Stegostoma tigrinum: one gene and its partner. The protein of the gene in region 1 interacts with the protein of each later gene in a biochemical or structural test. Links are inferred from orthologs where the notes say so. Each region holds a gene or a part of one and is shown on either strand. Other genes may lie near its edges.

Region 1 (16,459 bases):
AAGCAGAGGGCGTGGTCTCAGAATAAAGGGGTGCCGATTTAAAATGGACATTAGGAGGGATTTCTTGCAAGTCTTTGGAACTCCTTGCCACAGACAACCGTGGAGGCAGAGTCCTTGTGTATATTTAAGGCTGAGATAGATAGAATCATGATTAGTAAGGGGAATCAAGGGTATGGGAAAAGGGCAGGAAAGTGGATGTTAGGAATAATTAATCAGCCAGGAGCTTATTGAATGGCGAAGTGGGCTCAAGAGGCATCTGCTATGACTGGTCTTGAAGGTCTAACTTTTTCTGAGTCCAAGTACAAAATATCAAATACCTTCATATCAACTCCACCCAGTCCACATGGCCAAAGAATAGGTTTTCCATATTTAATTTCTGATTAAGATGGTTACTTCCAAATTTCAAGGATTTGTCAATGAGCATCATTGTTTTGATCCCAATGTTGTGGCAACATTGACATGATCCAAAGTGTTACAATTCAGTCTGGGTGAGATTTAGTACAAAGGGGCCAGCCACAGAATAGGCAGCTTCAGTTATTTCTACATTTGGGCAGTTCTTAATTTTACAGTCAGTACAGGCTTTGTAGATATCACATTGCTGCCTTGATGTAGCATCCTCGCCGTTTGAGGGTCAATAGTTAGGATTTATACCATAATACTACAATGGCTCATCATTGGGAGACAGGTCCAATATGGAGATTGAGCCTAGGCCATTGGCGGTATTGTACTGTAATGAACTAACTCCCAGATATCACATAATAAAAAACAAAATAACTGCAGATGCTGTAAATCAAGAACAAAAACAAATGTTGCTGGATAAGCTCAACAGGTCTGCAGCATCTGTGACAAAAAAAAATCAGAGTTAAAACTGAGGAAGAGTCTGAGGAAGGGTCACTAGACCTGAAACGTTAACTGATTTTTTTCTTCACAGATGCTGCCAGACCTGCTTAACTTTTCCAGCAACTTCTGTTTTTGCTCCCAGATATCACATACCTTTCTCTATGAACTTTGCCCATAAGGCAGGGAAGAACTTCTGAGCTGTCTCAGCAAAATGAACATATCATGAATTCTGAAACAATTTCCATGCTAAAGTTTCAACATGAATGTTGCATTTTATAATAAATTTAGTAATAAGATGTCATTGGATATTTAAGGCAAACATGGAGCTGCAGCAGGTGGTAAAGAAGGCTAATGTTACGTTGGCCTACATCGCGAGAGGTTTTGAGTACAGGAACAGGGTTGTGTTGTTGCAGTTATACAGGGCCTTGGTAAGGCCTCACCTAGAATATTGTGTGCAGTTTTGGTCTCCTTTACTAAGGAAGGATGCTCTTGTTCTTGAGAGAGTCCAGCGAAGGATTACCAGGCTGATTGGTGGGACTGACATATGAGATGAGATTGACTAAGTTGGGATGTTTTCACCAGAGTTCAGACGAATGAGGTGGGGGGGGGGGGTGCGGTTTCATGGAGAGTTATAAAATTCTAACAGGACTGGACAGGGCAGATGCAGGGAGCATGTTACCGATGGTGGGTGTGTCCAGAACCAGGGACCACATGTGAGGATTCAGGGTGGATGATTTAGGAGGGAGATGAGGAAACATTTCTTCACCCAAAGTGTGAATTCATCACCACAGGAAGTAGTTGATGTCAAAACATCAAGTGTATTCAAAAGGCAAGTAGATATGGCACTTTGGGCGAATGGGATCAAAGTTTATGGGGAGAAAGCAGGATTAGGCTATCGCCTTGGACAATCAGCCATGATCGTGAAGAATGGTGGAATAGGCTTAAAGGGCTGAATGGCCTCCTCCTATCTTCAATGTCTCTATATGTACGATGTGAATTTCTCTGGTTGGGCCAGCATTTATAGCCCACCATTAGTTGCCCTGGACAAGATGGTGGTAAGGTGCCTTCTTGAGCTATTGCATTCTATGTGCTATGCGTAGACCCGCAATGTTGTTCGAGAGGGAATTCGGGCATTTTAACTCAACAACACCGAAGAAACAGCAATATATTTACATCAGGATGATAAGTAGCTTGAAGGGGGACTGTTTCTTGTATCTGCAGTCCTTGTCTTTCCAGATGGTTATAGTTGTGAGTTTGGAAGATACCATGGATGGAGCCTGGGTGACAGAAATTATGAGCGATGATTGCTGCTATATTGCTTATCACTCATTTGGATATTTAATTTTCCATAGTATCTTTTGTTAGATGCTTGCAGAGCAATACAGTCTGTGTTTGCACTGTTTATCCATTAGATTTTTTTCCAGGTGGTCTGCTATAGCTAGAAGTCTAACACATGTAATGCAGGATGTGTAAGTCCCACCACTGTGAAATGATCTTTGTCAAGTGTCAAAACTGTCACAGGTGAATGCAGCCAATGACAGACACAAACCTCGTTCACATATCACATGAATGGCCTGGCAGGAAACCTGCAATTGATGGTGTTCCAATGTATCTGCTGACATTGTCCTTCTAACAGGTAGGGTGGTCATGGGTTTAGAAGGTGTTGTCTCAAGGGTCTTCATGAATTTCTGCAGTGCATCTTGTAGACGGTGCTCACTGCTGTTACTGAGCGGTGGTGATGGAGGGAGTGAATGTGCAGTTGGTGCTAATCAGACAACCACCACCTTCTTCCATTGTGCTAGATATGACTCTAACCCAGAGTTGGACCTGACTCCTAACGTATCTACGAACATATCAACAAAGAACAAGAGAAGACCACTCAGCCCTTCGAGTCTGCTCTACCATTCAAAAGATTATGGCTGATCTGACATCAACTTCAACTCTACATTTCTGCATATCCCCGATAATCTTTCAACCCCTTGCTGCTCAAGATCTATCTATTTATCTCTGCCTTAAAAAATATTTTAAGATCCTGCATTCACCGCCTTGAGGAAGGGAAATTCAAAAACTCGTAACTATCTGAGAGAAAAGAAAGTTTCCTCATCTCTGTCTTAAAAGGTTGACCTCTTATTTTTAAACTCTGACCCCTGGTTCTAGATCCTCCCTCAAGAGGAAACATCTTTCGACATCCACCAGGTCAAGTCTCCTCAGGATCCGACGTGTTTTGGTTAAGTCAACGCTGAGTCTCCGAAACACGACAGGATACGAGCCAAGACTATCACATCTTTCCTCATCAAGCAATCAGCTCATTCCAGGTATTAGTTTAGCAAACCTTCTCTGACCTGGTTCTAATACATTTACATGCTTCCATAAGTATGGTGATTACCACTATACACAATACTCCAACTACACAAACTGAAGCAAATAACCTCACTGCTCTTACATTCAATCCCCCTCACAATAAATCATAATTCTCTATTACTGATTACTTGATCTAGCTACCTGCTAACCTTTTGAGGTTCTCGTACTAGGACACCCAGATTTCTCTGAGCTTACAGCTCTGCAACCTTTCACCATTTAGATAATATGCTTCTTAATCATTCTATCTGCCAAAATGGAAAATTTCACTTTTCCACATGGTACTATTTGCCAGGTCTTTGGCCATTCACTCCATTCAAGTAACCTATCTATATTGCTATGTTCTATATCTCTTAGTAGGTTCCTTGTGACCTGTTCACGACTCACTTTCCTATGTGCCATCAACTGTCATAACTTTGATTCCCATCAACCAATTTATATAAGTCGTAAAGAGTCGAGACCCCAGTACTGTCCCCTGTGGCACACCACTTGTGCCATTCTGCCAGCTGAAAAAGACACGGTTACGTTTACTCTTTAGTTTTGTTGGGGCTCCTTGATACCACACTCAGTCAAATGCAGTCTTGATGTCAAAGGCAGTCACTCTCAACCCATCGCTGGAATTCAATGCTTTTGTTCCTGTTTGAATTGAGGCTGCAACGAGTTCAGGAGCCTTGCAATGCTGGCAGAACCCAAAGTGAGCATCAGTGAGCCGACAAAGTCAGTAGTTAATAATTGAGGCTATAATTAACTTTTGCTGCCGTCATAGCTACTCCAGACCAGAACACGTGAGCGAGCAGGAATCTGTTTACTCTTCAATTGTGAAGAAACCCATATTCCCTTTTAATTTTCTAATCAACTGTTCAGAATTACTATCACTCAACTCTGAAGCAGGTTGAACTTGAACCCGGCCTTCTGGTCCAGAGATCGTGACACTACCACTGGGCCACAAGAGCTGTGAAGCCCACATTGATGCTTTTGATTCAAGAGTGGCTTCAAGAACAGGATGTGAATGGTACACTGCTGCTTATTTGTTTTACGGGTCCACACCACCTTTTCCCCATTGGATGGCCTTTTGTCCTTTAATTAATAATTAATTGTGATGGATTTTGATAACAGATGATCAGTTTTAATGCATCAACTCTGGAATAAATGTCTTTCTCCTCCTATTCTCATGTTTACTCTCATTCACTTAAAGTGCATGTCACCCAGATTCATTGTGGTTTTATCTTTTGAATTAAATCTCATTGATGTAAAATGTCAACCGTATCTACTTAAATGTTGGATTGAGATAAACATTCCCTCCTCATTCCTGATAAATCTGATCTAAAGTGGACTGCAATGAAATTATCTACCAACCCCCTTCCAGTAATCTGCGTACTCCAGTTACTTCTCATTGCCCATCATATGTGCAAGTTCAGAGTTGAGTAAAGTCAGCCCCGAACATACAGAAAGAAAGAACCACTTGCATTTAAGCAACAATTTTCACAACTTTGGGACATCCCAAATTGTTTTACAGCATACTTCTGAAATGTAGTCATTATTGCAATTATGAAAATGTGGCAGCCCATTTTCACACAGCATGTTCTCACAAACAGAAAGGTTATAATGACCAGATCATCTGTTTTAATGGCCATGGAAAACTGCACCTTGGACACTGTGGCACTCCTCATGCTGTGGTATGTCAGCCTAGATTGCACAAACCACCCAATCTCTAACTAAGAGACACCCGATAATGTCAAAACACTGATGGTGAGTTTTAAATTAATATGCGAACCACCTACTCGCACAAAGTTAAAAATCAGGCTCGCTAAAGTTAGCGCTTTGTCTTTTAGCAAGTGGAATGGGAGCTGACAGCATGGGTTTGGCTCGTTTGCGATGCATCTCATTTGGAGAAAATCCAATTTATACATGGCTGTCCTTTGCTTTGCTGAAAATTCCATTGTCAACTGATTGGAAATTGCATTCTTTGCAGAGCCTCCCATGACTGTGTCTCTCTTTCTGTAAGAGAAATAGCTTTGAAAAGCAGTAACAGCCAATCTAAAATGCTGAGAGAGACAGAAGTTTTGAAATGAAGCCCCTGCTATTTAACATACCAAAAGAATCAAAAGACAATTTCATATGAAAAATCAATGACCGCTTTGAAATGTAATTTTGAATATCCTCTAAATTGTACTACCTCTCAGTAATAGACTGAGGGGAAGGCTTTTGGTTGAAAAATTGGTGATTTAATTTACAAATCTGATCAATGTCTTACTTCTACGAAATTTGCATGCATCAAAATTGTAATGAATAAATCCAAATCAAAATGAATTAACTGGTATGTTGCGTAATTAAGTGGATGAAATTTGAACTGAACATTGATAACAATGAATATATTTATAAATAAATAACCTTGTTTAAAACTTGAACCAAAGTGAAACAGATTTGGTCAGTGTGACAGTCAGATGTACAGAATAAAGTTCTCTTGGCCTTGACCATTTATTTGCAATTTCTTCCAAAGCCTATACCAGCTTAATGCAATCTGCAGTTCTCTAACCATGGCGTTTTGTGTTTATGTAAATCACCAACATTAATATCAGAGGCATCAGCATGTCAGTCTCCCAAACTAAACCTTCCTCTTCTCGCTCCTGTCTCACAAACAAATACTTACCCATTGTTTCAACCAAACCATTTATCAATTTTCTTCCACAATTCCTTCAGCCCCTATTAATGTCATTGTCTCCTTGCCTTCAAATTCTCTGGGACATTTTCTAAGTTATTGCTACTCATTGTTGACATGATGGTGCCTCAATGTCATAGTTGAACTGTGCCAAACAGATGGTAAGCACTGTTTTTAATTATTAGCAATTAACCCATGTCATTACAAACATAGAATTGTGATCTGATATATTGTTCATTTCATGGAGTGGAGAGGTAGGCGGGGCAGGGGGAAATGATTAAACTTGGCACACAGATGTAATTTGATCCCACTTTGAAAAGAAACATCCTTTTTAGGTGATTATATATTTTCAGACAACTTTTCTGGTGGGAAATAGTCAAAATTCAAATGTTGGGTGCATCATTTTACCTTGTATAGCATGTGCTCTTTGGATGGAGGGTTAATCCAGTCCTGTTGAAATAGGAGATAGTTGGAACTGCCGATGTTGGAGAATCTGAGATAACAAGGTGTCGAGCTGGATGAACACGACAGGCCAAGCAGCATCAGAGGAGCAGGAAAGCTGACTTTTCAGGTCTAGACCCTTCTTCAGAAGAAGGGTCCAGACCCGAAACATCAGATTTCCTGCTCCTCTGATGCTACTTGGCCTGCTGTGTTCATCCAGCTCGACACCTTGTTATCTCTGTTAAAATAGCACCAGTGGTATTCTCTGAGCAGTGTGGCTGACATCATCCTTTAAGTGACACCATCAGAAACCGGTTTATCTGAACACTTTCTCATTGCTGCTGTCGGGTTCCTATTTCCAATCAGTTATTTCCTGATCTTTAAGCAGTTCGAATCACTCCAAGACTCCTGGTTTGTGACACTGGACTTACGTGGGGAATGTGAAATGAAGAGGCAGGAAACAGAGGTTTCAGGGCAAAAGAATCCCTGTGCTTATCTAAAATACAAAAGCTAATTATAATGCAAGAAAATAGGCAATACAATAGATCAAAGAAACGGGTACAATGAAGTATGGTAGGAGAATAGTAGTAGTTTAAATCCACTATCAACCAGATTAACACTATTTTGGGGGATAGCAAGATGTGGAGCTGGATGAACACAGCAGGCCAGACAGCATCAGAGGAGCAGGAAAGCTGATGTTTCGGGCCTGGACCCTTCTTCAGAAAATTCCATTTTGTGGGATCTTGCTATGCATAGCTTGGCTGCTTTGCATGCCAACAGAAAGTAACTAGATATAGAATATACACCCATAGCCAGTGAAATTACTCCATATTTCCTCAGCACATGAAAGCTGCTACATGTGTGCAAGTTCTCTCATTCTTCTAACAAAACCTTAAATGTAGTAGAAGCACAAACAATGTGTGTGGAGATTTACTGATTTGGGAAGAAATCCATTCCTGCCGATTGACTTAACAGTGACTTATGCCGTAGATATCGACAATATGTGAGAAGCAATGAGATCAGGGAGTTGTAGTTACACTGCTGGTTCACATCGCTGTCAATTGAAACATTTACTGATGCCTGTGCAATTCTATTTGAATAGACAGGGAGCTGAAGAAATCAGCTACAGGAGTAACCAATTGCCAATACCAGAGAGCAATTGCCATAACATCAGAAAATTAAACTTGAGTAACGGTTAGAGAGTGTGCGCCATGGAATCCCTAGAGGCCAGTAAGGGGCCAGGTCTGCACCAACCCTCTGAACAGTATCCAACCCAGACCCCAAATCTATCCCCCACCACCCTCCATCGACCGTGGCTAGCTCACTAGCCTAGCCTGCATACTGCTGGACACAATGGGTAATCTAGCATGGCTAATCCACCCAATCTGCGCGTCTTTCGACTGTGGGAGGAAACCAGAGCACACGGTGAAAAACCATTGGGACACAGAAAATGTGCAAACTCCCCACAGTGGCCTGTGACTGGAATCACACCCAGGTCCCCGGTGCTGTAAAGCAACAGTGCTGAGCCGCCCTCGTTGCTAGACTTGCCTATTTCACTGGCTGGTCTCCCCCATTCTAGTAAACCTGATGCTGTCCAAAGCTATGATGCGTGTGTCCATCCGCCCACAACACCCCGTGGTTGCTGACTTACATGCTTCCTTGGTAGAAGTAACACTTCCATTCTAAAATTCTCATCTTTGTTTTCAAATCTCTCCATGGACTTCTCCTGTGTGTCTGCAATCTCTTCAGCCCTATGGAGTTCCTGGCACTCCTGCAATTTTGGCCTATAATGTCAATAATCGGCTGCCCTGCGTTGATTTATAATGCTCCTCTAAAAAAAAGAGCTTCGGAGACGTTTCATTACGTCAAAGGCGGCGGGTAAATGGAAATTGTTGTAAAGTCATTGGTCAAACTTCACGTTTACTGACCCCAGTGCATTGAAGAAGAAACTAACTTCCATTTTGTTTTTCAATGTAAAGTCGACTATTTCATACTGTAACTATTCTCTGGTAGGAAAGTTAATGCAAGCATTACTTTAACCGGTCGGAGTTATACTGTTATTTGTAGCCACTGAAAATGGGTGAGTGGCAGCAATAAGCCACAATATTGAGCTTAGGAGGGGAGCTGTGTAAGAGAGTGCAGAAACGGGGCAGGGCAATCTCTGAACTGTGGTTTGATACATTCCTTGCGTCCACACCATTAGCTTAATCTAACACTGTCCATTCCCCACTGTGTGAAAAGCAAGGCAGCTTAGTTGTACTGTAGACAGGACACGCGGATCTGCAAATGAACAGACTCCCTATTCCGATACTATTCACTTATCATGAAGCTCATCACGCATCCATGTGACTTTTGAAGCTTTCCTCACTTCTCGTTTGTTCTGTTTTTGACTGGTTTATACGTTTATTTTTTCCTTTAAGTTTTCCATTAACCAACCCCTTCAGCGATAGATATTTTTATAATCAGCCTGTTCAGAGTTGAGATGGTACACAGCCACAATTAGAATTGTACCCCACACCTTTCTAACTGAAAACAGAAACCGACTGTGCCATCACGGTTTGTGGATTGGACGGGGATGGTTCCACAATTCACTGACTCAACAACTCTCTCTCCCCTTCCGCCCAGCCCCGAGTCCTTCAGAATTAGTCTAGCCCCCTCTCTGAGTCGGGAGTCCCTGGTGAAGTTGCAACTTTCCGCTCAGCTCTCGTACCGAGACTTCACCCGGCACTGACTCAATCCCAGAAGTTCAGTGAAAATCAGTTTAGGAGAGGGCTGGGTTAACAGTATCCTCCCCTAGGACTAACTCCCTAAATCCCCCATTATTTATTTTCAGGGTACTCCTCGTTCTCTCTCTGTTCTGAACGCATGCTGGACCCGGAAGTGTTAGCTCTGCTTTTTTTTCTCTCTCTTTCCACAGATGCTGCCACACCTGCTGAGTTTCTCCAGCATTCTCTGTCTCTCACCATCTCCCGAGTCGGGTTTTCACACATATCACCTCCACAAATTTAAAAAAAAATCCCTGCAGATTTACACTCCTCTCCCCCAACAACTAGCCCGTTCGCTATGGAGCTGGCCAATGCTTTATTTTAACCCACACTCTGCCGCCTGCTGTACAGAAACGGGGTGTATTGCTGTCCGCAATAATGGGAACTGCAGATGCTGGAGAATCCAAGATAACAAAGTATGGAGCTGGATGAACTCTCTGATGAAGGGTCTAGGCCCGAAACGTCAGCTTTTGTGCTCCTGAGATGCTGCTTGGCCTGCTGTGTTCATCCAGCTCCACACTTTGTTATTCTGGATTGCTGTCCGCTTTGTCCTGGTCAATAACCCCCAGCCCCCAGGGTCTTGGACCGAAACATCAGCTTTCCTGCTCCTCTGATGCTGCTTGAACTGCTGTGTTCATCCAGCTCTACACTTTGTTACCTCACTGATGCCTTCCTGCTTTCAGAAGCAGTACAGTAATCGTGCATGTGATGAAATTAACACGAAGCAATGTTGATTTGAATAAAGAAAGGGTTTTACTGAAAACAAAAAAAAATTGCTGGAGATCACAGCCGGTCAGGCAGCATCCGTGGCTTTACTGCTTCTAAGATGCTGCTTGGAGTGTTCATCCAGCTCTACACCTTATTCTCTGTTATCCGCGGATGTACTTTTTGTTTTCAGCAACTGCAGTAATTTGCCACTAAACTGCTTTGAAGTAACTTCGATAGAAGCCTTTGGACTCGACCCATTGACCCTTAACAGATCAGGCTTTGCTGATTTTCTGGAGTACTTTTCTTTTTTAAAACAAAACTTCAGATCTTGAGCATTCGCAGTATTTTGCTTCCAACTTAAATTTTAAATACTTTCAGTTCTCACCCTCAACATTGTGCTGGATCATCGCCTCTTCATCAGCCGCTGACCACTGCCCCCCCCCCCGGAACAGGATTTCCTCATCTTGTGCTGACCCACAGCGTCACCACGAGTCTGGTTGGAGAATTTCGAGCTGTCGCCTCGAATCTCGAATTAACTCTCAGCATCGACGACCAGCCGGAGAGTAATTGTCTCCTGCCAGGATCAGGATGGGGGCAGTGTGAGGGAGGACAGAGAGAGAGAGAAAACACACACACATCACTTCAATCCATCCAGACCCAACCAAAAAAAACAGGCTGGATACCAGAAGGCAGCTTGTAGCTGGGAGAGAAAAAGAACTCTTTGAACAGCCCTTGAAATAGGTGAAAAGATGTTTTCGCTGAAGGGTTCTTGCACGTTATTGGTCCTTTTGCTTAACAAAGGTAAGAAGATTTATATAAAGAGTACTGGAATAGGGGGTGAAAAGTTTATTCAGTTACACTGCTCTGAAAACTGCAGAAGTGAATGCTTTTAACCTCGGATTGCAAACTTTGAAATGTTTTTTCCACCGCACACTGGCAAGGATTTTAAAACAGATTTTTGCAGGGGATTTTGTTCATTTTTTGTTAGAAAGACAAATGTCATGCATTCTTCTGTTGTAATGCAAAATGTAGAAGTTCCTTAGGCGTCAATTAAGTGGAAGTTTCTGATTTAACTCACCACGTAGTGAGCACTAAGTGGAATAAAAGAGATTGTGCAAAGACAGAGAGATACAACGTGCACGTGTGTGTTGTGGAAGCAAAAAACATAGCGTCTACGGCTCCTTTCTTTCCCCTGGTTTGCGAGCTCCCTCCTGCCTTCCTCGGTGAACCATAACGGAACATCAGTAACAGTCCCCTCTGGCCGCTGGAACTCAGTTACCGGGGTCGGGAGAGCCAACCGTCCCGCTGATGTAAAAAAAGGTGGTTTATATTTTTCGTTGGCTGTGTCAGTTGAAATATAACCAGGCACCCGTCCTTTCAGCGCTGTGTAAAATAGGGATGAAAGTGTTTCCATACGTGTTCCATACAGAGCGTGTAATCAGATTGCGAACTCCTCTCCCTCTTCGGTACGAATGATGTTTCTTGGAAATGTTACCCTCACCAGAGCAATGATTTTCACTTCAGTAAGTGGGACTGGATTGCCAGTAGCGGCGAACTGTGTTATCAGCTCTGTGTCAAAACAGGGAGGTGTCAGCGTCAATGCTTGCAAGTATTGGAAATTTGAACTAAAACAAATCAAACTACTGGAAATACACAGCAGGTCAAAGGAAAGAGAAAAAGATTTATGTTCGGAGTCTTCATCCGTTTGTCTGAATAGCTTTATTGAAGATTCTACCACGCTAAACACATTTGCTAACTTCTGTGAAGGGGCCTACTTATAACAATTTCTGAGTATTTTAATTAAAGTAAGATATCATTTGAATTCTCAGAGTTGCCTCGATCCTTTTATCGGAGGAGGCAATATTATGTCAAAGCATGTTACAGTGATGAGTTCATTAATGTACTGTGTGACCTCAGAAGGATTTACTTTCAGGGAGCAGTGTTGGATATTAGTAGCTGGGTATCTCAATGATACAGTGAAAGAATCCCTGCATTCCAATACTGTTAAAAATTCGCTCTTGAGTGTGTCAGATGGAATCTATATTGATGATGATGATAAGGAGTGAGAGGTGTGGATTGTCTGTTTGTGACTGGAGCTTGTGTTTCATGTAGATTGAAGAGGGGACCTTGTATCAATTGTGATGTCCTGGAGCAGACATTTCCAGGTTTTGCTTTGTGAGAGATTATGGTAAAGCAGCCAGGTTTCAGCTGGTCTAAAGGGTGTGGGAGAGAGCATACCACACCCTGCTGTTATGTACTGATTTTAAAAAATTATTTTCCTGTGAGCATCCGATATTGCTTCAGAAATTGGGGTAAATGGTTCCTGCAATAATTTGTCAAAATTTTCAAAGAGAATACTTGGAATGGTGACACTCCCTCCACCCTCTCCAATATAAAGGGATTATGGAAGTATCACAGTGAGGTTATTTATCTAGAATGGAGTTTTCAACACAATGGACTGGGCATTGTTTATCATCAGCGGTCTTAAATATGAGATTATTTACGATCACACACAAGGCCATCAGTAAGAGAGAGGACTTTGCATTTGTATTGCATCTTTCAAAATCACTGGGTCTCTCCAAAGGCTTTAACACCAATGGCATACTTTTAAAGCATCATCACTGTTGTAATATAGGATGCACTGTAGAGGATATATGCACAGCAAGATCCCACAAACAATAGCAAGATGTGGCCAGATGATCTGGTGAATTTTTTGCAGTTAGAGTTTGGGGTATGGGAGTTACATAAGCACCAGGGCACTCCCCTGTCATTCTTTGAACAGTACAGTGAGGTTTTACATATCCATTCGAGAGGGCAAATGGAATGCACAGCCAGCTCCTCATCCAAATGCTCGCTGGTGTGGAGGTCAAATCCAGATGCTGTAGTTACCATTAAACTAGGGCTGACAGCATGCCACCAGCATCCATCACAAGAGAAAACTCTGCTATGTACCCCACACAAAAAGATGCAGCAAGTCCACATGGTTAAAAAAAAACACAAACACAGATTCACAAAATTGTTTTGGTGCATAAAGAGGCCCTTCAGTCCATTGTGTCTGCAATGGTTCTTCGAGCAAGCATTATCAATTTGTGCAAATCTCAAATCAAATTATGCAAACCTCCTGCCTTTTCCCCATATCATAACAATTACCTAGGGCCACCTTGAATATCTCACTTGAATCTGCCTCCACCATTTTTCCAGGCAATGAACCCTAACTGCTCACTGTGTGAACACTTGGTTCTCACATCATGGATGTACCTGCTGGAGAAGGAGCAAAGCTTGATCTTCTCTTGGGAAATAAGGCAGGGCAAGTGACTGAGGTGTCAGTGGGGAACACTTTGGGGCCAGTGAGCATAATTCTATTTGTTTCAAAATATTTATGGAAAAGGAAAGACCTGATCTAAAAGTTAGATTTCTAAATTAGAGTAAGGCCAATTTTGATGGTACGAAGCAAGAACTTTCAAAAGTTGATTGGAAGAGGCTATTTGCAGGTGAAAGGACAGTTGGAAAGTGGAAGGCCTTTTAAAAATGAGATAGTGACAGTTCAGAGACAATATGTTCCTAAAGGTTTTGAGATGATTTGTAACTAAAGTTGTGGATGATGTTGCAGAAAACCTGACCTACAAATCTTCTCAAAAACTTTAAACACCTGCCGGCATAACAACCCTACTTGGCTCACAGATGGGAGACAAACGCCATCTGTCTGAGCGCGACCTGCGAACAACTACACTTCCTTCATGAATGCCTCAGAAAATCTGCAACCACAGTATGTTGCTGGTAGGGTTAAGGACAAGGCTGGTAGGTGTAGGCAACGCTAGATGACTACAAAAATTGAGGCTCTGGTCAAGAAAAAGAAGGAGGTATATGTCAGGTATAGAAAGCTGAGATTGAGTGAATCCCTAGAGGAGTATAAGGGCAGTAGTAGTGTTTTTAAGAGGGAAATTAGGAGGGCAGAAAGGAGACATGAGATTTCATTCAAAATCAGGTTAAAGAGAATCCAAAAATATTCTACAAATACATTAAGGACAAAAGAGTAATTAGGGAGAGAATAGGGCCCCTTAAAGATCAGCAAGGTCACCTATATGTGGAACTGCAGGAGATGGGTGAGATACTAACCGACTGTTTTGGGATCATTATTTACTGTGGAGAATGATATGGAAGCTAAATAGTGATATCTTGAAAAGTTTCCATATTACAGTAGAGGAGGTGCTGGATGGCTTAAAACTCATAAAGGTGGATAAATCCCTGGTACCAGATCAGGTGTATTCCAGACCTTAGTGGGAAGCTAGGGAAGTGATTGCTGGGCCCCTTGCTGAGATATTTGTATCGATGATAGCCACAGGTGACTTGATGGAAGACTGGAGGTTGGCTAATGTGGTGCCATTATTTAAGTATGATGGTAAGGAAAAGCCAGGGAACTATAGACCAGTGAGCCTGATGTCAGTGGTGGGTAGGTTGTTGGATTTACATGCCTTTAGAAAGTCAAGGACTGCTTAGTGATAGTCAACACATCTTTGTGTGTGGGAAACCGCGTCTCACCAACTTCAGTAAATTTTTTGAAGAAGCGACAAGGAAGATTGATGAATGCAGAGTGGTAGATGTTATCTATATAGGCTTCAACAAGGCATTCGATAAGGTGCTGCATGGTAGACTGGCAGATGAAATTAGATTACCCAGAGGCAGCTAGCCAATTGGATACAAAATTGGCTTGAAGGTAGGAGACAGAGGCTGGTGGTGGAGGTTTGTTTTTCAAACTGGAGGCCTGTGACCAGTGATGTGCCACAAGGATCAGTGCTGGGTCCACTGCCTTTCATCATTTACATAAATGATTTGGATGTGAACGCAGGAGATATGGTTAGTAATCTTGTAGACGACACTAAAACTGAAAGTGTAGTGAACTGCAAAGAAGGTTACCTCAGAGTACAACGGTATCCTGATCAGATGGGCCAATGGGCTGAGGATTAGCAGATGAAGTTTAATTTAGATAAATGTGAGGTGCTGCATTTTGGAAAGGCAAATCAGGGCAGGACTTATACCCTTAACGGTAAGGTCCTGGGAACGTTGCTGAATGAAGAGATCTTGGAGTGCAGATTCATTGTTCCTTGAAAGTAGAGTTGCAGGTCGATAGGATCGTGACAAAGGCATTTGGTATTCTTGCCTTTGTTGGCCAGCGTATTGAGAATAGGAGTTGGAAGGTCATATCTGGCTGTACAAGGCATTGATTCGGCCACTTTTGGAGTATTGCGTGTAATTCTACTCCCTTCTGTAGGAAGGATGTTGTGAAACATGAAAGGGTTCAGAAAAGATTTACAAAAATTGTGCCAGGGTTGGAGGGACTGAGCTATAGGGAGAGGCTGACTAGGCTGGTGTTTTTTTCAGGAGTGTCGGAGGCTGAGGGGGTGATCTTATAGAGGTTTATAAAATCATGAGGGGCATGAATGGGGTAAATAGGCAAGGTCTTTTCCCTGGGTTGGGGAGTCCGAAACTAGAGGGCATTAGTTTAAGATGACAGTGGGAAGATAGAAAAGGTCCCTAAGGGACAACTTTTTCACACAGAGGCTGGTGTATATATGGAATGAGCTGCCTGAGGAAGTGGTGGAGGCTGGTACGAATACAGCATATAAAAGGCATTTGGATGGGTACATGATTAGGAAGAGTTCAGAGGGATATGTGCCAAATGCTGACAAATGGGACTAGATTTATATAGGATATCTGGTTGGCGTGGATGAGTTGGACTAAAGGGTCTGTTTCATTGCTGTACATCTGTATGACTCTAACTATACAGAGTACCCATGCTTCATCAGGGTTGCATGAGCACTTTAGTTCTGAAGTCATCCTCACGTATACACCCATTTTTGGTCAGAAGTACTTGTGGAGGCAGCTAATAGGCTAATCACTAACAAACTAACTGACCATTCACCTTATTTATTGTGAGTAAGATCTCACCGGGCTCAGAATGACTGGCTCATTGCCCTACATAACAAAACCCACTGTGCTTTGAACTAATTCATTGTATGTGACATGATGAGGTGGTATAAGTGTTTTACTCATTCATGGATTGAGTGTTACTGGCTAGTCCTGGATTTATTCCCATCCCTACCTGTGCTGGAGACGGTGATGGTGAGCTGCCCTCTTTAATCGCTGTACGGTTTATGTAGATACCCCTCATGGTACTGTTTGGAACTGTCAGGATTTTGACCCGATGCCAGTGAAAGAACAGCAATATGTTTCCAAATCAGGATGTAGTGTAGCTTGTAGGTAAGCTTGGTGGTGATGGTGTTCCCTTGTGGCAGTTCTTCGAGATGATGGAGGTTAGAGGTTTGGAAGATGCTGTGGAAGAAGCCTGGGTGGGTTGCTCTACACATGTCAGCTTTTCTATAAGCAACAAAGCCACAAATGTACTTCATGACCTCAGTCTGCATATCCTCGTCCAAAAAATGTTTTGCATTTTTTTGACTTGTTTAAACACTTCCGGAGTTGCCATTCGGAAGTTGGCTGTGAAATACCTGACCCATTTCATGATACCATAACAATGTGAAAATACAGTACTATTTAACAGTTAAAGGGTAAAATGTCAGTGATTCGTTCTGTTTTTAAAGACCTCAGAAAGGTTGCATTTGTATATACATCTCCAATAAAAATTCGGTTCCTTTAAGTTCATTGGCATTGCGTGTTTTTTGGCTCGATC
Region 2 (16,502 bases), on another chromosome or scaffold:
TACAAGCACGAAAATTACTGGAGGTCCGGTTTTCAACCGCCAATGCAATTAACAAACATGTCGAAACAGACCCATCTACACACCACTTCAATAACTGCCCACCATGACAAACCAGACCATAAATTCACAGGACAGAACAATGGCGCTTCAACAGTGGCTACATAGCACTAACTGTCACCTAAAAGGGAGCTGAAACGTTTGTATGAAAACCAGTCAGCTCAGCAAACCAACAACTCCAACTCCCTCACAACCATCTTGAGCTCTTGTTGCTCAAAATTACCTTCACTCTTGCCCTTCTTTCTCAGGTCAAAAGGATGAACAGTTGAGTGTACCCAGTATGCATGTGGCTTACTTATCCATCACCAGATCAAGCACTCAGTCTTGTTCTCCTCTACCAGGATGTTTCACTATTTTGCTGGGTAATACCATGTGTGTAGCCTCCGATTAGGTACTGTTGAGTTTTTCCACCAGATGTTTAAACTGTGGTGTCCATTGAACCGAGTTACTTTGCTTTCGTTTTTCCTTCACAATGGAGTATATATACACGGTCTAGCTCTATTTGCTTGTTGAAGGCCTTCTCAGTGGAGAACCAGGCCGAGGAATTGCCATGCTTGTCTCTGCTGGGCCTGTCCCAGGATCCTGGTGTTGTCCCAATCAATTTGGTGGTTTTCCTTCTCCATGTTGTAGGAAATGAGTGAGTTTTTTTTTGTTGCTAGTTGATGCTGGTGTACTTTTGTGGCTTATTTCCTTCCTGTTTGTCCAATGTTATAACTGTCACACACTTTGCAGGGGATCTTGTATATTACGTTGGTCCTGTCCATAGTGGGTGATGGGTCTTTGGTTCGGGTTAGCTGTTGGTGTGCGGTTGATGCAAGTTTGTGTGCTACTCTGATGCCTAGGTGGTCGTAGGAGTCGTAGTTAGTTCAGATGTGTCCATGGTGTAAAGTAGCACAATAAGGGTGTCAGGGGGTGCAGTATCTTCTTGTCGTCGTTCGTGTAATAAGCATCTTCTGACCCAGTTGTTCAGGTATCCCTTGTCATTGAATACTTAGAAGAGGTACATCTCTTCTTTTTGGTGTAGTTCTGTGTGGCTGCAATATATTGTTGCCCGTTTGGAGTAGAGTTTTCATGCAACTTCATTTGTGGGAGTTAAAGATGGTTGCGTTGAAATTCAGGACTTGGGTCAATGTGTGGCTTTCCTGCATACCTTGGTTAGGAATTCCCCATTGGTCCCGCATTCCACCATGACATCCAGGAATGGCAGCCGTTTGTTCTTTTCCTCTTCCTCTGTGAATCTGATCCCATTGAGTGTTGTTTATTAGTTGGTGTTTCTCTTCTAGTTTGTCCATTAATAATGACGAAGGTGTCATCCATGTCTCGTATGCATAGTTTTGGTTGGATTATTAGAAGGGTCATGCTCTTGAGTCTCTGCATCACCACTTCAGCTATTAGTTGGAGATTAGTGATCCCATGGGTGTCCAAGTGATCTGTTCAGATATTTGGCCCTTAAAGTTAAAGTGGTAGCGAGGGCAAAGACCCAGTAGCTTCAGCATGTTGTCTGTGGAGATGGTGTTACTTGGGCCTTGATCTTGTTTTAGTAGTGTTGCTAGTGGTACATCTATCAATGTGACTAGGCCAGCAACGTCAAATTTTACCATGGTCTCACTGTGGTCTATTTTTATATCCAAAATGGAATTGAGGATCTCTTGGGATGAATGGATTGAGTGGGGTGAATTGCTGATGAGGTGCTTTTAGTCTCCTTTGTAACTCCTCGGATAATCTATGTGATAGCATGCCTGGCAAGAAGGCTATCGGTCTAAGGAGTACTTGTGGTTTGTGTACCTTCGGGAGGCAGCAGATTCGGGGGTGGGAGTATTAGTTTGTCCACCAACCAACAAACCAGTTCAGCAAGCCAAAACCCAAGCTACAAATCTACTCAAAACCTTTTATCCTCTTGTTGGTTCCTTCTAGCAGTTATGACCTTTACAATTTGACCAAATCTTGGTGAGGGACTTTGAAGACCCCAGCATGAATATGTTTTGATCTTGAACAAAACCACAAGTTGCTGGAAAAGCTCAGCAAGTCTGACAGCATCTGTAAAGGAAAGATCAGTTAACATTTCGGGTCTGGTAACCATTCCTCAGATCTTGCCACCTACAGTTCTTTCTCCAAGTATAGATTTATTAGCTAATACAGGAACATACTTATTATCCAGCATATTTCCATGCTTGCATTTGACTTGGAGAGACTTCGTAGGGTCTGTGGCTACTGTTGGTGAACGGATCAAGAAATGATGCCATTTGAAAGGAGTGGGTGTCTCTGAAAGTCAACCACAAAGTTATCATGCATGTATAATAAATGAGTAGAAAACTAAAATAGTACACTCACCTCTTCGATAGCAGAAATGGTTTCTGGAATGAGGGAATTCCTTTGAGAAGCCGAGTAGATTGTGCCTACAATCCTTAGAGAGTGAAAAAAGAACATATGCTGGCCTCACTGAAATAATATTCTCAAGGCTCTTGAAAGCGTTGATACTAGGATTATGTCTCCCCTCTATTACATGTTAACAGTCTCAGAAGACAGCTCTGGCCATTCTGAACCGAAGAAGAGAAACTTCGCGTGAAGGGAAGTATATCTTTGAAAATCTGTCTCAGATCATTGAATAAATTCAGAAAAGAAGGAATTGATGTTTGGATATTTAGGAATGGGGGATAGTGCAGCAAGATGGAATTAAGGTGAATCATTCATAATTGAGCATACTTGGCCTTTTTAAAGGAAGGACTAAACAGTTTCCCCTGCTCCTGCTTATATTCTTATGTTCTAAGGCTTCAAATGAACTTATGTCCAAGAAGTGTTCAGCTAATGGAGACAAATGAATGGTTTCTTTCCCCCTATATTTTCAGTATCCAGAAAATTGGCACCCAGAGAAGCTACTTCTGTCATTCCTTTCCAAGCATCACTAAGCTTCACTAATAAACTAGCAGCACTTTTCTGATACCACGTGCTTTCATGATTTTGCGTCAATTCTGCATAATTAACCTCTGAATAATCTTTGTGCCATAGAGATTCACTGAAGACAAGTAAAATGATAACAATCACACAATAGCCACTGTTGGGCCAAAGTTCAAACTCCATTCTAAAATATACCTCCTTTCGAAGGTGAGTTTTGACAATGAGTAATTAGGCCAATATAGTCTATAAAACTCAGTGAATGATTGTGCTTTTATGATAACATTTTAAGAAAGAAAACCTAAGCATAGTTTCACAATCACTGAATCTTTAGCTGCTCAGGACTATTCTAGTTGCACCTCATCTCACAAAAACAGTGAACATTGAAACAGGGAAGAAAGAACAACAGGAAACAAAACATTCCGAAGAGATATTGTTAATTTAAAAGTTGTAATCTATGAAACATTAGCCAACCTCCATACATTGTTAATTTTCAACCATGCTGATAAAGCTACATTTTCAAATGTTTTCTTGACTAGTTTTGAAGAGTTACAACACTCAACTAAACCTTTCTATCATTAGTTTAACTGGTTAAATGTCTTAGAAGGATACCATTTCGTTTAGCTAATCAAACACTTAACAGATATAATTCTTAGATAGACAATCTTTACCAGTATGGCCACAACACAATAAAACCAACATTATAACTTCCACATTGCCAACAGGACCGTGGAACCTCAAGTGTTTCAAACCTTGTTTTTCCATAATTCCTCAGGTAATGGCTTGGTTGAAAGTAAGTGACAATTGATTCTGCTGTTCTCCCAACCCAACGTGCAATGCAGGAACAGATTAAGAAATACTTTTCAGGCCTTTGAAAACAATTTCCCAAATCTTCAAGGTCTTTACCATTTCATTCTTGTATTCTCATTTGCTTGTTTTGAAATGGAAAATAATTCTTGGCAAGATGAGTAAATAAGCACTTTTTTTAAAAAACAGGCAATCATGTGAAACGGTTTGGCTTCACTACCTTGAATCAATAGTTCCACAATCTTATCTAACACTGCCAATCTTCACTTTACTTATACCCACCCCCAAAACAAACCAAGTACAATCAATCGAGAGAAAGTAGACCTGACCGCTTGAAACGTCGCTTCATACAGGTCAGACATTTTTTTTCAAAATGCAATTACAAATACACATCCTTTTCTTCATTAACCAATCAGACAGTCTGAATTTCAGCGATACCAAGTTTCACCACTCCGTATTTAAAAATTGACATTTTACGCTTATCCATTCCAACCTTTTGCAGCTAATAGCTACAGTTTGACTTCGTTTGGAGGATGTAAGTATCAAAAGCTGTTTTCCACCCAAGTGGAAGTGACGTTAACATTTTTTTTAGGAAAAAAGTTGCTTCTTCATTTGCTGTAAAACGCTGTTACAGTTTCCGCAGGAATGTACAATCTTTGAACACCACACACGAGTAAGGAAGGCAGATTTTCTCAGCATTATCTTCGATGTCACCCAAGCAAATGCAAATATTCAGCGGCTTATTTAACCCCACCATCGTCTCATTTTTGGAAAAGTACCCAAAAGTGGTCTCCCTCACTACTCCAGAGTCCATACTTTCCAAACTCTGTTTAAAGGGATAACTGCGGTATTTCAGATTCAAGAGGCCCTACTCCGGTCCCGATTAATGAAGAGATGAGAATGCTTTAGCATAAAAAGTTCTGACAGAATACCGAGCAATTGAACTTTCTCACGTAACTCGTTCCGTAGAAGCTTACAATCGAATGTAACCGCGACACTTAAAGTCAAAAGTTTATTTTTTTAAAAAATGGCTTGTGTGCGCGCGCGTTATACTTGTTTAGACGAAGATGATCTAAGGTTTCCAGCTCCACTGGACACCAACTGTACCTCATTGCGTACGTGCACTGACCACAGCGCCTCTTCATCCCAAATGTTTGTGATACAAGCTTTAAAACACCCTTCACCACTACCTTACATGGTGCACACCAATAACTGGACATTACCCCAATGCACCAAAGAAAAACACTTTCCAACAGCTCCTCTCCTCCCAGGCACGAACACAAGACCAATACACGCGAACAAATCATTCACGAGGTAAGGTGGGGAAGCAAAGATTAGGGAAAGGAACACTTACTTCAATCTTGATTGCTAGTCCTGCAAAATGATAATTTTACTTTGCCCCTGCTCACCGACGAACTAATTGACTCTCTTAACAACCCCCCTCTACTTCCACAACTCTCTCCCGCAGTAACTCCTCCTCAACGCGCGTGCTACAGACACTTTAAAAAAATGGCGACGCCTCGCCTGCGGGTGCGCGCACAATCCCAACTTTTTGTTCCCGTCCCACACACAAAAAAAGGAAAAAGTAACTGCCGCTGCGCGTGAACGCACGCGGCTGAAACACCCAACCCCGCCCGCACGCTCGCTCGCGCGCCAACACAAACTGCCCAGCCCCTCCCCCACAGCGGATCATAAACGAATCGCCCGTCCGGTGCCCGAGCGGCCTGTGGCCGTTAGTAACACGCGAGCGGAGCCGACTCGGAGCAACAAACGGAATGAAAGTGTCTCCGAAATTTCATCACCTCAAATCCCTAGTCCGTCAAAAATCTCCTTGTACAAAACTCCCGCATACGAATATTGGAAGAGACCTGGTGATCGGATGAATTCTCTACCTCCCACCAACCGTCCCCCCTTTCTGTCCGTACCCACATACAACTCGTGAGAAATTAGTCAACCTGACTCGTTCACATGCTTAAAAACCGAGGCACACAGGGTTAAAACTCGAAAGCTTTCCTGATTGCCTTGTAAATTACGAGTGGTGATGGTGCAATTTTGAAAGAATACGTAAAATGCAGTGTCCAGACGTCAGCATCGCCTACCTCCTCGAATACTTGTGGTCGGCCGTAGGTGTAATGTAAAATTTCCTGTGTGCCCAGATCAAGATTGTGTACGTATATGGTTATTGTCGCTGAGCTCCATGCTTTAGTGCTTCCCTGTACTAGTTCACTTTAATAGGGATGACTGGCCTTTCAAAGGTTGTAAATTATTATTTTTTCCGCGCTTTGCCTTTTCTCCCCCTGCAAATTTCCGGTCGAGTTGTGCACGCACATGGCAACACCGCAGGCATCCTCTTGAGAAGGACTTTCCTGGAACAGCCAAGCATATTGACTATGGGACAGCAATCGGCTGCCAAAAAGGGACGGCGGCACTCAGGCTTACCCTGCCTTTAGAGGTCTTCCTATTCAGCTGAGCCGTAAAGTTTCCACTCGTGTCCAAAAGTTTATACCAAGCCATAACTGATCATATTTGGAGAAGCCTCCACTTTATTGGCCTTCCCATCTCTGATTCTCACTTTCTGAACACCCCAGAATTCATCTTCACGGAGGTTATTTGTCTTTGATGCGACAGTTTTTCCGTTTTACACAATTGCCTCGCAGACTCGCCCAGTTTAGCAGATTGAACAGTTCTCCAGCAGTCGAGGAATTACTTACTGCCAGCTATGGTCTGCTCCGCTGACGTCCATAGTTGATCCAGAAAGACGCTTATTAGCTGTTCTAATCTCAAAAGCAGATGTGTCTCCATCTCGTCAACATTTAACAAAAAAGATAGACCAAACAAAACCGTTCGCAAAAAGAAATACATGAAGTAAACTAACTATACATTAAAGAGAGCTGATTGTTGTCTTGTAAAAGCACGATAGAAGGCAGTGTTAAAGATGTGTCGATTTCACTTCACAGGAAGGTCAGTAATAATATCCCGATCAAAGCATTGATTGAGACAGGGATAGGTAGCTGTTAGCAACTCAAAGAGCTAAATTAAGGATCGCAGTTTTGATAAGAATACATTGTGCGGTGATGTTACCAAATAATAAAGCATTATGGAAATATACTTGGTAAATTTGAATTCGCGTACTCGGCTATTAATATGATCTTTGCCAGAGTTCCGCATAAAAACTCTTTTAACTGTGCTTTTAATTTATGTCCAGCACTAGTTGTCCTCAGCACTGTTAGATTTGACAGCAGAAAAATCGCAATTCTGTAACGTCTTGTGGAAAATGTGCGTGCGAGAATATCAGGAGAGAACAGAACCAGGTTCAAGTGTGATGCCGTTCGCAATGGAATTATCTCCACAGACCCGCTGCGTGGGCTCATTAGATTTAAAAATTACTTAGAATGTGAGCTACCTGGTGTTTCCTTTAGGGGAGGAGAGGAGACTTCTTAATTTAAATTCGTAAGCAGTTATATTTTCAGAACCAAATCAATTTTTTTTAAATGTTATAACGACGAATTTAGAATTTGGTGTTCCAAAGACAATTAACTTCTTTACCAATAAAGTTTAGATTATGAATGGAGGACTCGGTGACAGCAATCAAAAATGAGAAATGTTCTGGTTTTAAAAATGATTGTTTGTAAGTTATTTTAAAACTTTTTTATGGAATGAAACGATATCAGGAAAGCTGCTCCATTTATTCTTTTGCCTCCATTCCTTAAAGTAAGTGAGTACCGTGCTCAGAGAATCGTGAGGGGCGTAGATATAGTGAATGGCAAGGGTCTTTTCTCCAGGTTGAGGGAGTTCAAAACTAGAGGGCACAGTTTTAAGGGGAGGGGAGAAAGTTTTAAAAAGGACGTGAGGAGCAACGTTTTTACACAGAGAATAGTTCCTGTGTGGAATGAACTGCCAGAGGAAGTGGTGAATGTAGGTACAGTTACAATATTTAAATAACGTTTGGATAAGTACATGAATAGGAAAGGTTTGGGACAATACGGGGCAAATTCAGGCAAGTGGAACTAGTTTTGAACATGGTTGGCATGGACTAGTTGGACCAAAGGATCTTTGTCCATGTGGCATGACTCTATAACATCTGATGTAAGAAAAAAATAATTTGGAGCACACAAGCAGGAGATCTTATGGTTTATTAAAAGTGTCAAATATCTTAATTGTTTCTCAGTAATATTGTTATTTAACACTTCCTAGCCTCATGAAAATAAATATCAATGATTTAATTCTAGAGTTAACTGAGTAAGTTGGCTGTACTAAAATGTATTGATTTTACAGAAAAGGTGACTGGTCAAAGCCACTAACAATTACGTGAAACTAATGAAAGTGCATATGTCATGATAATTTTTTGAATGTGTTTTCTTTCATTTCGGACTAATTTTCTTTGGGTATCATTTGTTTTTATTTTGTTTGGTTCAGTTGCTTGAGCATACTTTTATCTTTTAAATTAAATCCCAGAATTAATATACCTGTAAAATGAGTACTTTGCCAATTCTTTGCTGGAAGTTAACAATATATGCAGTATAAAATTAAAATAATTTAGTTGAGATCACTAACCTATCACAACAAGTCCATTCACTAAAATGCTGCTTGGCCTGCTGTGTTCATCCAGCTCTATACTTTGTTATCTTGGATTTTCCAGCATCTGCAGTTCCTATTATCTCTCCCATTCACTTCCAAATGTGAATAAATCCTGTGTCTTAGTATCTTCTCCAAGAGCTTCCTCAATACTGACATCAGGCTCACTGGCCTATAATTACATGGATTATCTGTGTTTCCCTTCTTAAACAAAAAGGAACAACACTGGCCATTCTGTAGTCCTCGTGTGAGGCCAAAGAAGATGCAAAGATATTTAATAAGGACCCAGCTATTTCCTCTCATGCCTCCCACAGTATCCCAGGATAGATACCATCTGGCCCTGGAGACATGTCTACTTTAATTCATTTCAACACTTCCTCCTTCATTATGTTCATCTGTCTGAGAGTATTCACATTCTATTCCCTAACCTCATTAACCCTCACCACCCTCCCTTTGGTGAATACCAATCTGAAGCACTCATTAAAGATCTCATCCATTTCCTCAGGCACCACACATCCCCTGAGACAGTAAGAACTGCCGATGCTGGAGTCAGAGATAACACAGTGTGGGATAACAAAGTATGGAGCTGGATGAACACAGCAGGCCAAGCAGCATCTTAGGACCACAAAAGCTGATGTTTCGGGCCTGGACCCTTCATCAGAAGCTGGAGAAACACAACAGGTCAAGCAGCATCAGAGGAACAGGAAAGCTGACTTTTCAGGTCGGGACCCTTCTTCAGAAATGGGGGAGGGGTAGGAGGTTCTGAAATAAATAAGGAGAGGAGGGATGGGGCAGGGGAAGGTAGGTGGGGTGGTGATAAGGAGTGCAGATAGGCAATAGTGGGGGTTGGTCAGTAAGGTGGGAGGAACAGACAGGTGGGGAGAGAAGACAGACAGGTCAAAGAGGCAGGGATGAAAGGTAGGTGGGATGGAAATAGGTGAGTGCAGGTAGGCAATGGTCGGGGTTGGTCAGTGAAGGGGGAGGAATGGATTGGTGGGAGAGAAGATGGACAGGTCAAGGAGGCAGGGATGAGAAGGAGGGTTGGTCATGGGAAGATTTTGAAGCTAGTAAAGTCCACATTGAGACTACATCACACATAACCTCCCTCCTTTATCCATGAGTGGGCTTACTCTTTCCCTAGCTACCCTTATGCTCCGATTGTATGAATAAAATGCCTTGATATTCTCCAAGCTAGCCAAGGACATACCATAACCCCTTTCAGCCCTCCTAACTCCCTGTTTGTTCTTTTTCCTATTTTCTCTATATTCTTCAAACTTCCAATATCTTTTTACTGGAACTGTCAGAACTCCAAAAAGCAATAGAGACAATACATATATATCCCAAGGTTAAGAAATTGTGCTGTTCAGAAATCATTTAATGCTTCCTTACATGAATTAAATGCAATTGATGATGGTGATCCTAAGTAACATTGTCATCACCTTCTTGAATTATACTTTTGTAGCTGTGCCAAAAAAAGGGTCTGGTGGGTTCTGGCCCCTTCAAGGATGATTTTGTAATAAAGACACATGTAAAACCACTCAATCATTGCACCTTAGTACCATAATGTCTGTTTTGGATTAAAATGCTGAATTTCTGGTTCAAGTGGTGAAAACTAAACAATGTGAAAGATATCTTTGATTCAACTTTATCAAACCTATTTCATCATTTATATATGCAATTCCTTGATTGAAGTCCATCTTTGCGCTTGATATCCAGAGCCCTTGATCCATGGAAGATAACTGGACTGTTTTTCCTCATGACAAATTGTTTAGTATACTTGCAAAATGTAGACTCAAGTAACCATGCCTACTATTGCATTTTTATGCCAACATACAGTTTCTCCGTCCTCCAGCCAATTTCATTTTATTTCTTTACAGCATTTCTCTGGAGAAACCAGCACAGAATGAAAGAGATTTATTCAGCGGACTCCCCACTCTATATCTCTTTTTCCACGTCAAGTAGACAGCTAACTTCTCAATTCCTTTGAGAAAATCTTTGAAAAGCAAGTTCTGTTCAGTAGGATGCCTAATACCAGATGTGTATTATCAATGGTGCCCTATAGACTACACTGAGTAATGTAATTGAATGATTTTTTTATTCCTCATATCTAGTCAGACAAGATTCTGTCCATGACATCTCTGAGACATCCTTTCTCTGATGTTCTGCAATGTTCTCTTTAATCAATATTGCTTCCTTTTGTTCCTTTCTTATCTTTCTCAAACATCTTGTATTCAGCAATATTTAATACCCAGTCCTGGTGTTCCTTGATCCAGGTGTCTGTTATTACCATAACATCACATTTCCATGTGGCTCTCTGTATCTTCAATTCTTTCATCTTATTTAACACTCACTAGGCATTCTCACATGTACGGACTGTGACCCTGTGACTTTATCACTTACACTTTTAAGTTGAATCCACCAAACAGCTTACTATTTCCTGCTCTTATATTATCTGCCTCACCCAATATTTTTTGCAGATTGGCATTCTTCTGGTTCTCACACCACTGTCAAAATCGTTTTTTCTCTCCAATAAGACAAGTAAATCTTCCTTCAAGGAATCCTTTGGCTTCCCATCTTCCCCCAAGACTGATCCCTATGTCCCAAAAGACTTAAGCCATTCAGCCTCTCCCTGTTGGCACTATTTTGAAATTACATCCAAGATGTCAACAGCAGCACATAGGAAGTGTTTGGGCCTCTGAGCCTATCCACTCCAATCACCAGGCCAGGCACACTTTTTTTTGTCTCTTCCTTTATGTTTCATAACAAACTCCTTTGTATCTTCTTTCTGCAGCTGTGGTGGATGAAGAGAACAAAAGATGAACTTTGTCTTAATTATTTATATTTATATTTATATTTACTATAATTAAAATGGCACCAGAGTATGATGACAAACAATTTTAACTGTATTTTTCTAAGTACAAGTGACAATAAATTACTATTACTGTTATCTCTTGAGCTACACATGTGTCTGCACTTTTCTTCTATCTCTCCATTCACTTACATGTGGTAGCATAAGTAATATGAAAGTTGCTACTTTAGAGGTACTGCTGGTAATTTCCTCCCTAGCTCCATGAATCCTAACAGCAGAACATTTATCATTCTTTTTATGTCATCAGTATTAATATTGGCCACAACTGCTGGTTGTTCACTCTCCTCCAGCAGGGTACGCTGTAACATCCAGTGACGACCTTGACACTGGCACCATCCTGGATTTTTGGATTTGTGCCACTGGCCATAGAAACACTTATCAGTTCTGCTGACTGTTGAATTTCCTATCACTATTACTGTACCAGTCTTCTTTGTGCCTCCAATCCCATACAGCAGAGCCTCTAATGACTTGGCCCTGAATGCACTACTAAGATGGACCATTCTTTCATTTCTATTCAGAATTGAATACTGTTGGAGATGCATTCTGGGAACTGTTGACTACCTGTCTATTTCTTCTTGACTGGTGGTTACTGATTCCTTCTTCTTAGAATTGCTCTTAAGCAGCAGGATAACTATACATATAAGTGTGCTATCTACAAATCTCTCAATTGAATGGCGGTGCTACAGTGATACCAGATGCTGTTAAAGCTCTGAAGATCAAACTGCTGCATGTGATGACACTTCCTTCACTTATGATTATTCACCTCTCAGGAAATGTCTTGAAATTCCTACATGGACCAGGATGTCTACTTCAGGAGTTGGGACTTTCTGTTTCCTCGATATTTTAGGTAATAAAGCATACTATTTTTTAAAAAAGGAGCTCGCCATTTCTTCACGTCTCTTGTCACCTAAATATATGGAGGCTATAAAAATTTAAGCTAATTACAAAAATCAAACTTTAAATTTTCCAAATCCTTAGTCTAACTTCCTAACTTCGAAGAAAGGGAAAAATGCAGAATACTCAATAATCAACTCATCGCATTCCTATGATGTCACAGTTTGATTTTTATTTTCTTTCTCTAACTTTAGAGATCCTGTTCAAGTCTGATCATGACACACTTCACAATCTATCTGGTCTGCTTTACATTCCTTCCTGTCTGCCTCAATGATCGTGACTTGCTTAGTATTCCTCCAAATTTACTTCACAGTCATTCACAGTTTCATTTTATGTGCTTTAAAGTAATTCTGATTGCAGTACGCTCAATCTGGTCAACTTCACGGTAATCTTGATTTATATGCTATACTCGTAAGCAAGCTGCTTCAGGACAAATATAATATTTGTATTTGCCTTTGAATGTGTAAAATTGTCTAGGTATGTCCTGCCCACAATAAGCATATCAAATCCAATCTGGCCAGTGAAAACCCCCATCGATCCACTCTTGACCATCAGGAAATTGATTGAAGGTGTCAATGTTTTTGACAATGCTGTTAAGTGGCACTTTACATAGCAATATCTGAACATTGATGCACATGTTAGGATGTGCTTGGATCACTCACTATGCTCCCCAAATCTGTCCACATCAATAAGGCAAAATTCAGGGTGTGATGCAATGATCCTCACTTCTTTAAATAAATATGACTCCAATATCGTTAAACAGACTGTCCATTACCAAAGGTCAAAGCAACATGCTTAGCCAGTACCTTGTACGTCAGATCAAATGTTCACTCCCCTCACCACTATTACATTGTGACAGAAAAGTATACATATACAAGATGACCTAGAGGAGCTCATCAAGTCTTCTTGACAACACCTTCCAGACTTGCAATCTTTACTAACTAGGAGGACAAAAATAGCAGACAATCCAATTCATCACCCAAGTTCTCTTGCAAGCCACACACCATTCTGGCTCGAAACTATAGTGCTGTTCCTTCAAAAGAACTAGGTCAGAAACTTGGAACTGCCTCCTGAACAGCACTGCAGTTGCAGATACACCAACTATGTCATCAGTATTAATACTGGCCACAACTGCTGGTTGTTCACTCTCCCCCAGCAACAGTTGAAGAAAGAAGCTCATCTTCACCTTCTGTAGGGCAATTAGTGATGTGCAACAATGCTGGCCTAGTCAGTGACACTTGTATCCCGTGAAAGAATAAGAGAAATGATGACAGCTTACATGATCTGTTCTCAAATAGACTATTTAAAGAGCCAAACACCTGAATGATGTACATGTATTATAGATAATGGGAACTACAGATGCTGGAGAATCCAAGATAACAAAATGTGAGGCTGGATGAACACAGCAGGCCAAGCAGCATCTCAGGAGCACAAAAGCTGACGTTTCAGGCTTAGACCTTCATCAGAGAGGGGGATGGGGTGAGGGTTCTGGAATAAATAGGGAGAGAGGGGGAGGCGGACCGAAGATGGAGAGAAAAGAAGATAGGTGGAGAGAGTATAGGTGGGGAGGTAGGGAGGGGATAGGTCAGTCCAGGGAAGACGGACAGGTCAAGGAGGTGGGATGAGGTTAGTAGGTAGGAGATGGGGGTGCGGCTTGGGGTGGGAGGAAGGGATGGGTGAGAGGAAGAACAGGTTAGGGAGGCAGAGACAGGTTGGACTGGTTTTGGGATGCAGTGGGTGGAGGGGAAGAGCTGGGCTGGTTGTGTGGTGCAGTGGGGGGAGGGGACGAACTGGGCTGGTTTAGGGATGCGGTGGGGGAAGGGGAGATTTTGAAGCTGGTGAAGTCCACATTGATACCATTAGGCTGCAGGGTTCCCAAGCGGAATATGAGTTGCTGTTCCTGCGACCTGCGGGTGGCATCATTGTGGCACTGCAGGAGGCCCATGATGGACATGTCATTGAAAGAATGGGAGGGGGGGTGGAAATGGTTTGCGACTGGGAGGTGCAGTTGTTTGTTGCGAACCATTTCCACTCCCCACCTATACTCTCTCCACCTATCTTCTTTTCTCTCCATCTTCGGTCTGCCTCCCCCTCTCTCCCTATTTATTCCAGAACCCTCAGCCCATCCCCCTCTCTGATGAAGGGTCTAGGCCCGAAACGTCAGCTTTTGTGCTCCTGAGATGCTGCTTGGCCTGCTGTGTTCATCCAGCCTCACATTTTGTTATCTCTGATATGCATGTATTGCTGTCTGTGGACACAGATTGCATCAGTAAGTGACGAGTCAGATTTGTACTGAACATTGCACAATCATTAGTAAACTTTCCCACCTCGATTCTTAGAATCATACAGTATAGAAGAGGCCCTAGGCTCATTGAGCCTGCATTGACATAAATTATTCTGAATCTACACTTTGCAACACTTGGCTTAGAGCCTTTAATGTTATGACATTTCAAGTGGTTATCCAAGTCCTTTTTAAAGGCTGTGTGATTTCCTGCCTCAACCATGCTTTCAGACAGTGCATTCCAGATTCCCACAACCCTAAAAGAAAATGTCCTCAAATTCCATCGAAACCTTTCATGTTAAAATTATGTCCACTTGTTATTGACCCTCCACCAAAGCTGCTTTCTATCCACCCTGTCCATGCCCCTCATAATTTTGTACACCTCAGGAAGGTCCCCTGCCTTCTCTGCTGTAAAGAAAACAATCTGAGTTAATCCAGCCTCTCTTCATAGGTAAACCACTCCATCTGAGGGAATATCTTGATGAATCTCCTCTGCACCTCCACCTGTACAATCACATCTTTCCTACAGTGTGATGACTAAAACTACACACAGTACTCCAGCAGCAGCCTAACCAAAGTTTTGTACAAATCCAATATAATCTCCTTACTCTAACAATCTGTTCCATGGCTAATCAACACAGGTGTCCCATATGCCTTCTTAATTACCCTATTAGCCTGGCCTGCTGCTTCAACTATCTGTGGACAAGCATCTAAAGATCTGTCTTTTCCTTTGAGCTTCTTAATGGCCTGCCATTCATTGAGTACTCTCTTGTCTCGTTACTTTTTCCAAAGTGTATCACCTCACATTTATTTGTTAAATTTCTGTCTTCCAGTGATATGCCCAAATGACCAATCCATTTGTATCCCCCTGTAACCTAAGACCTTCCTCACTGTCAAGTACCTGACCAATCTTTGTGACATCCACAAACTTGATTATTCCCACCACCCACTCCCTCATTTTCTTCTTTATTTTATATATAAGGGACACAACACTGATTCCTGTGATATGCAATGCACACTGACCTCTAGTCATACAAGTATTTTACCACCATACTCTGTTTCCTGTCACTAGTTTGCCGAGCTACTCTGGATCCAGTGTTCATTTTTTGCCTTCTTTCATTGTCCCTTCCATTTCTGACCCTACAAACAAGACAGTTGATAATTGATGATGCAGCTGAAGATAGTCTGGCCAAGGTCACTGTGCTGATGAATTCCAAATACTATACTAAACAAAACAGTCTACCTGATTGGCACTACATTCACAATCTTTGCATGATAGTAGAAGCATGTTTTAAGCATGAAACACTGCGGTAACTTAGCAATGCTCCTTTGAAGCAGTGATGTCCTGGGACTAAGGTGATCAGCTTCAAACAACTATAGTCATCTTTCATTGTGCTAGGTATGACACCAATCAATGGCTCAATACTGGAAAGGCAATGGGGCCTGACAACACAGTTTATTTTCCATGATTCAAGTTAAATCCAGTTTTACTCAAGACCCTTGATCCCACTGTCAGTGAAATGCTACCTTGGTGTCATTGGCAGTCACTTTTATGACCTCTTCCCAGGTTTGAACCAAACTTGTAATGAAGCCAGGTGCTAACTGGCCCTGGTAGAACACAAATTGAGTGTCAGTGAGCAGATTATTGCTGAGCAAATGCTGCTAGATAGTACTGTCAACAACATCTGTCCTGATGATCAAGGGTAGACCGATGAGGCAGTGATTGGCCAGATTAGAATTACAGTTATCCGACAATTACAGACAGGATGCAGCTGGGAAACTTTTCCATATTGTCACCTAGATCCCGCAGTTATATTGTACGGAACAGCTTGGTTAGAGGCATGACTCAAAAGTCATAGAGATGTACAGCACAGAAACAGACCACCTCATCCATGCTGACCAGATATCCTAAATTAATCTAGTCCCATTTACCAACATTTGACCTGTATCCCTCCAAACCCTTCCTATTCATTTACCCATCCAGATGCCTTTTCAATGTTGTAATTGCGCCAGCCTCCATCACTTCCTGTGGCAGTTCATTCCATACACACAGCATCATCTGTGTGAAAATGTCACCCCTTAGGCCTCTTTTAAATCATTTCCCCCTCATCTTAAACCTTTGCCTTC

The links.
Region 2: the proteins of ret (region 1) and grb10b form a complex in vitro, tested with the Homo sapiens proteins (2 studies listed by BioGRID). The link is inferred for Stegostoma tigrinum from reciprocal best matches to the Homo sapiens genes RET and GRB10.

Annotation. Positions count from the first base shown.
Region 1 is NC_081390.1:21,307,313-21,323,771, reverse strand, and holds the start of ret (proto-oncogene tyrosine-protein kinase receptor Ret), read left to right. Parts: upstream 1-10,340; 5' UTR 10,341-10,520; coding exon 10,521-10,572; intron 10,573-16,459. UniProt on the Homo sapiens protein: Receptor tyrosine-protein kinase involved in numerous cellular mechanisms including cell proliferation, neuronal navigation, cell migration, and cell differentiation in response to glia cell line-derived growth family factors (GDNF, NRTN, ARTN, PSPN and GDF15).
Region 2 is NC_081355.1:94,097,820-94,114,321, forward strand, and holds the start of grb10b (growth factor receptor-bound protein 10), read right to left. Parts: upstream 6,006-16,502; 5' UTR 5,856-6,005; intron 5,712-5,855; exon of another isoform or gene 5,559-5,711; intron 5,320-5,558; exon of another isoform or gene 5,111-5,319; intron 2,462-5,110; exon of another isoform or gene 2,389-2,461; intron 2,320-2,388; exon of another isoform or gene 2,205-2,319; intron 1-2,204.